2 separate regions of the Mus musculus genome follow, and region 1 is reported to be linked to region 2. The links are microRNA targets in miRTarBase. Many come from high-throughput screens and were not tested one by one. Region 2 holds a microRNA gene; the other region holds the end of a gene's coding sequence.
The links. Region 2 holds the annotated microRNA mmu-miR-669h-3p (UAUGCAUAUACACACAUGCACA, at 1,469-1,490, opposite strand). A microRNA usually pairs through its seed, bases 2 to 8, with sites in the 3' UTR of a target mRNA and lowers its output. Matches are read on the target gene's strand: a 7mer-m8 pairs with bases 2 to 8, a 7mer-A1 pairs with bases 2 to 7 and ends in A, and an 8mer does both.

Region 1: miRTarBase lists Golga7b as a target of mmu-miR-669h-3p. Seed matches in the 3' UTR shown: 7mer-m8 at 1,641-1,647.

What each region holds. Positions count from the first base shown.
Region 1 is chr19:42,267,801-42,271,211 of GRCm38, forward strand. Golga7b (golgi autoantigen, golgin subfamily a, 7B) reads left to right here. Exons shown (of 5, transcript NM_027694.2): 5 at 552-2,548. The coding sequence ends at 662. Among named protein-coding and RNA genes, the nearest start is that of Gm34347, 7.6 kb to the right of the region's middle.
Region 2 is chr2:10,516,298-10,519,708 of GRCm38, reverse strand. Mir669h (microRNA 669h) reads right to left here and starts at 1,554; the gene lies at 1,430-1,554. All of the region lies in intron 10 of Sfmbt2 (Scm-like with four mbt domains 2), which reads right to left. It overlaps Mir297a-4 (microRNA 297a-4), which reads right to left and starts at 2,642; the gene lies at 2,545-2,642. It overlaps Mir669i (microRNA 669i), which reads right to left and starts at 2,105; the gene lies at 1,979-2,105.

The sequences.
Region 1 (3,411 bases), not on the chromosome of region 2:
TGGAACAGTAGTTCAGGTGAATAGCTCCCCGTGCAGTAGTTAAAATAATATATTTTACAATAAAGCTGAGAGAAGAGTTCAGAAAACATAGTCCCCAGAAACACACATATTTCCCCCGATTCTTTTTTTCCTGAGTTCTTGTGTTGTGTTCAGTACTCAGGTACTCCATTTAATTTTCACAGGAACCTCAAGGCGCTGTTAGTGTCCCCACTTTGCAGATGTAATAATTGACTGTTAGCAGGTGAAGGGACTGGCCTGGCCTGGCCTAACTGGAGTGGGCCATTAGGGATATGGAAAGGGAAGTGTTTGTATCTAACACCATTTCCCAGTGCATCTCGAAGAAAGCCAGAATCTGTCCATGGGATCCCGTTGTGCACTCAGCCCTCTGTCCTCTCAGAAACTGTTAGCTGAGGCTTGGAGAAGGGTTTGGATTTTAGTCAGGCCTCTGGTCTTTGGGAATAGAGTGCTTCAGGTCACAGGCTCGTTCTGGGTCTGTACTCCGTTCTTTGGTTAGCAGCCGGGTGCTCGAAGCTCCTTAACTATCGTCCCAGATCGAGATCTCCATCTATGAGGACCGGTGCAGCAGTGGTAGTTCCAGTAGCGGCAGCAGCAGCGGCAGCGGCAGCAGCAGCGCTGGCGGGGGAGGGGCGGGGGCCCGGTGACTGGCCGAGAGTCCCTGTAGGGAGGTGTACAGCCGGAGCGAGGGGCTGGCAGATCTACGGAGGCTGCGCTACCAGAGCACCCGCTTCTGAGTCTTTCTCTGGGCCCACCCTGCCATGTGGTGCGGAAGGGAGGGTGCCTGCCCGCTGTTCCCTGTCCCCAGACCTTTGCTCCTTGGCAGGATCTTCTTCTTTCTGACCCTGGACCTTTTTTTTTTTTTTTTTTTTTCTCCCATGAGGCTGATCTGAGTCATCAGACCCAGACCGTCCTAGGATGTCTGGGGTGGGGGTGGGGGACCCAGCTTGGACAAACCCTATCTTTCCTGCCTCCTTCCTCACTCTAAGGAGGGCCTGGAGAATTCCCACCCTGCATGATACTTCACCCTCAAAGACTCTTTCTAAGGCCCAACGCTACTATGGGCTCCTGCTTGTCAGTGGTCCCATCTCTTCACTGGAGATCTGGGGAGATGGGTGCCCTGGGAGCTATTCAGCCGCTCCAAAGGCAGTGACTTTCCTGTCCTCAGAGCCGAAAGTTCTCTCAGCCTTGCCAAGAAGCACCCAACTCTGAGACTTTGCACCCCACCAGGAACTGATTTTAGGGGTTCAGCCTAGGACTCTGATGGGCTCCACTGGGGTATGGGAAAACTTTGGACGAATGAAGCTGGACAGAGCTTGAACTCCTGAACTGGATCCAATTCCTGCATCGTGTGCATACATGTGGAGTGCACTGTGTGCGCAAATGTATGTATGTATTTGTATGGGTGGCTAAGCATGTACACATGTGAGCAAACAAGGGTATGAATATGAGTGCCTGTATATGTATGACTGCACAAGTCAATGTGTGTATGTGCACATGTGCGTGAACCTATGTTTATCTGAGTGAATGAGGGAGAAGGTAAGTGCATGTGTGCAACACGTGCATGCAAATTATGTATGCGTGTGCACAAGTGTATTGCGTGAGTATACATGTCTATGTGTAAGTATGCATGTGTTTGTGTGTGTGTGTGGGGAGAGAGAGAGAGAGAGAGAGAGAGAGAGAGAGAGAGATTCGGTTGTGTCGTTGTGTGTTCTCTTTGGCTGCTGGGCTAATGACTACTGAGTCCTGCCCCATCCTGTCTCACATTGGTCTGCAGAGCCTCTCTGTGAGTCCCTCCTGGCCCTCTGTAAGTCAATGTTCTAAAGCTGGGCTGTCAGCTTGGCTCTTCCTCTTGGCCTTTCTCCCACCTCTGGCTCTATTGTACACATTCTGATGGAGGGATTGTTGGGCTCCCAGGAGAACCAAGCCAGCGTTTAGGTGGTCTTTGGTGCCCCTCTCCCAGCCCCCATGGCACAGTGGGGCCACAGATGCTGCATATTCAGCCTGCCCAGGTGTCAGGACCCTGAGGCCCTTGTAGATGAAGCTTCCCCGGACATTCAAGGCAAATGTGCCTTGCGAGGAAAAGCGAATGGAGCCATGGCTCCCTAGGGGAGCTAAGTTGAAGGTGATGCATCCTGGGGCCTTAAGATGGACAGAAAGGGGCTGCCTACCTCAGCGGGCAGGAGGTGCTAGAACTAGACAGGAATCACCAGCCACTATCAGCAGCTTCCTGGAGCTGAAAGGGCCTGTCTCTCTACAGCAGGAGACTGTGCTGCGGATGGAGAGGGCTGGCCAAGCCCCTGACGCCTCAGGGTGCCCGAGCCCCATGAGCCCTGGTGCAATGAACCCCTTCTTTCCGAGCTGCAGCCCCCGATCCCCTGCAGAAGCCTGTGCCCTCTGTAGCCTGCTGTGCAGCCAGGCGTCCTGTCTGACTTTGCACAGCCTGTTGGGAAGGTTGGGAAGAGGCAAAATGGAGGGAGACCTTTTGTTTTATTCTGTTCCCAATAAAAGGACTTGCCAGCTTGAGGCTCCATGCTGTTTCCACCAGGCCATCCAAGGAGACACTGGGTGTGGGTGTGAGGAAGCAGCAGATGGCATGCAGGACTGATACACTGTGCCCTTGGAGTGTATGGGACAGTGAAGAGGGGGAACTGTCCAGGTCCCTCTACCAGCCCTTAACCTTTGGTAGATTTGCAACTTCGGGTGGAGCCAGTAGGGTCAAATAAAAGCTAAGCCAAGAGTAATTTATCATTGAGATAGGGAGGGCCTGTTACTTGAGTTCTTACCCTAGGTCAGGCACTGTCTGGGGTTGAGTCACACAGGTGGGCGGTTCAGTGTGGAGGACTAGAAGGGGCTGGCAAGGAGACTCAGCCAGTGAAATGCTCGCCACATAAGCCTAGTGACCCGAGTTTGGGCTCTGGAACCCAGGTAAAGACGGACAAAGAGAACTGACTCCTTAAAATTGTCCTCTGATCTCCATACACGTGCATCACAGAATGGTACCCCCCCCACCCCGTGTGACTACATTAAAATTTTAAAAATATTAGAAAGCAGGAAGATATTGGAAACTAGCATAGCCTATAGCTGGAGTTTCACCAGATTAAGCATTTATTAATCACCTATGATATACCAGACACTTCGATAAAACCGTATTCTGGGGATGAGGAGGGATTTGAAGATTAGCTGAGTCTTCTCAAAAGGTCCAGAGAGGTTGAATAACATGCACCACCATAGAGCCTGTGGAGTTAAAATGGATTTACTCCCAGGTAGAAAGTTGTCCGAGGTTTTGGCGGGCTGGGCCATGTACACAGATCTGTGGGTCAAGGGTCTGTTCCAGAAGGGACCTCGATAGACCACAGGGGGTGTCCTGGAGTGGGGTCACGAAGGAGGTCTCTT
Region 2 (3,411 bases):
GAGGGAGAGGAGAGGAAATGAGGGGAAGGGAAGGAAGAGAAAAAGAAAACAAAGACATCACCATCACAGAACCTAGGAAAGAGACACAGCTCTTCAGGAGAGAGAAGAAGTGGGTCCCACTAGAAAAGAAACACTGAGTCCAAACCCTCAGCTGTGAGTTCAGACATCAGCAACAAGGATGGCAAGAATGGCGGAGCAGGAATGAGCCTTGAGAACAGATTTCTAATAGTACGGCCATAATGGACGAGAAAACACTTGCAAAGTGGGCTCTGCTTTGGTGTCCTAACACGGGACCAGGCGCTGGTATTTTAGACCCAAAAATCAACGGAAAACCAACGAAAGCAGTGAGAAGAAGTGCAATATTCGCCTATGTCTCAGGGTGCTCCAAGGTCATTTAAAACAGTAGGCATTCATGCATTCCCATGAGTTCTTCTTATTTACGATCAGGGAATACTGCAGAAAAACAACAGAACCTTAGGCAAGGGCAGAGGAACCAGAGAGTCCATTTGACCTGAACACTAGCCACAACGCTGCTTCTTACAGAAAAAGAATTAGGCTGGGACACATTTCGTACAACAATTAAAGCACTTCTCTGTGTAAAAGCAAGCACAGCATTCTAGTTTGAATTATGTTAGGAGACAAAGATATCACCAAAAATAGACTCTAATATCATATAAATATCAAGTGTTGACAGGGAAAAACAACACTTTAAAAAAATTCTTAAAGAATTATTAAATAAGCAAAAGGATTCTTAGTTTTTAACGACCAGAAATGTTTTCAATATTAAGAGCAACCCAGCTTTACCTCTTAACCCCATTCAATTAAAAGTGACCTTTTTCATAGAGAATGAAAGAGAAGACAGCTATTAATGAGGGAGGTATTCCAGTCTCCCGAGCCAGATGAACGATAAATTTTAAATTAAGATATATTGCAATCTGAAAACTCAAAGAAAATCATCAGGTGTACGAAAAACCAAAAGAATCACACCATAGCCTGCCTGTGTGCTGAGTTCCAGAGATCCAACTCAGGCTGTCAGGTTTCCACAGAAGCCATTTTCACCTGGAGGGAGAACTAGCCCTGGATCCGTTCTGCATAAGCTCTAAAGCTCTGAGTCACATCTCATTCAAATAGATCGATCAGAGCCACTAATGTGCGTGTAGGTGAATGCCAGTGTGTGTGTTTATGTATATGTATGTGAACATTCATATACATACATTTACATGCACACATAAGTATGAACCCATGCACATACATGGGGGAGGGCATCACATGAATCGCATGCTGATCTCTAACTCATCATGAAGTGAAACATGAATTTGAACTCCAGGACCTCCTGACGCTGGCAAGAGTATTCACCTCCTAACTGAGACATAGCTCTGGCCCAGTACTGCATAAGCTCTAAAGCTCTGAGTCACATACCATTCAAAAGGATAAACGAGTGTCATTCCTGTGTGTGAGTGTGTGTGTGTGTGCATGTGTGTATATGCATATTCATATAGAGAAATGAATATGCACTCAACTATACACCCATGCATATTTTTGGTGGGCATCACATGAATGCCAGGATGATCACAAACTTATCAGGAAGTTAAGCATGAATTTAAATTCCTGATCCTTCTAACTCTGGCAAGTGGTTTTCACCTGGTGAGTTAGATGTAACACTGACCCATAATTATACACTCTATAAAACTCTAAGCACATATAAATCAAACAGATCTATGACTGCCATTCTTATGTGTATATGTATGTGTGTGTGTATGTTCATATACATGCATGTACAAGCACACTTACCTACACATATATACACATACACAAGGACAATCAAATGAATTCCAGGCTGATCTCTAACTCATCATGAAGTTAAACATGAATTTGAACTCCGTATCCTCCTGACTCTGGAAAGAGTATCCACCTCCTAACTGAGGCATAGCTCTGGCCCAGTACTGCATAAGCTCTAAAGCTCTGAGTCACATATCATTCAAAAGGATATATGACTGTCATTCCTGTATGTGAGTTTGTATGCATGTGTGTATATGCATAGTCATATAGAGAAATGAATATGCACACAACTATACACACATGCACATTATTGGTGGGCATCACATGAATGCCAGGATGATCTCTAACTCATCAGGAAGTTAAACATAAATTAGACCTCCTGATCCTCCTGACTCTGGCAAGAATACTCACCTCCTAACTGAGACATAGCTCTGGTCCGTTACTGGATAAACTCTAAAGCTCTAAGTCACATACCATTCAAAAGGATATATGAGTGCCATTCCTGTGTGTGCTTGCGTGTATATGCATATTCATATAGAGAAATGAATATGCACACAACTATACACCCATGCACATTTTTGGTGGGCATCACACGAATCGCATCTGATCTCTAACTCATTATGAAGTTAAGCATGAATTCGAATTCCTGATCCTCCTGACTCTGGAAGGATTATTCACCCGGTGAGTGAGATCACGCACTGGCCCAGTCATACAGAACCTCTAAGACTAAGTCACATATCATTCAAATGGATCCATGAGTGGCGATTTTGCGTGTATTTGTGTGCATGCTTGTATGGGTATGTGTGTATGTATATGTATACTCATATACACACATGCACATGCACACATACATATACACACAGGCACATACACTGGGGGGGGGGGGCGCCATCACATGAATCTGAAGCTGATCCCTACCTAATCATGAATTTGAGAATGAATTTCCACTCCTGATCCTCCTGACTCTGGCAAGCATTTTCACCTTGTGAGTGAGAGCACCCACTGATCCAGCCCTGCATAATCTCTCAAACTCTAAGTCACATACCTTTAAGGCCTGACTCTGGCAAGCACTTTGACCTGTTGAGTAAGAGCATGCACGGGCACAGTACTGCATAATCTTTAAAACTCTTAGTCACATATTATGCAAGTAGATGAATGCAAGTCACCATGTGTTTGTGTGTGTGTTGCATGTGTGTGTGTGTCTGCACATGCATATCCATATACATTCATGAACATGCACACACATGTAAGCACACGTGCACATACATGGGTGGCATCAAATGAATACCAGGATGATCTCTAAATGGAGTTTGAACTCCTGATCCTCCTGACTTTGTCAATCATTTACACCTGGTGATTGAGACCATTCACTGTCCCTCTACTGCATAATCTCTAAAACTCTAAGTCATATATCATTCAAATGGATCGATGAGTACCATTCCTATGTTTGTGTGTTTCTGTGCTTGCATTTATACATGTGTGGATGTTATATATATTCATATACACACATGCACACACAACTATACACACGTTCACATGCATGGGGGGAATCACATAAATCACAGGCTGATCTCTAAGTCCTCATGAGTGTAAGCATGCATTTAAGCTCCTGATAGACCTGACTCTGGCAGT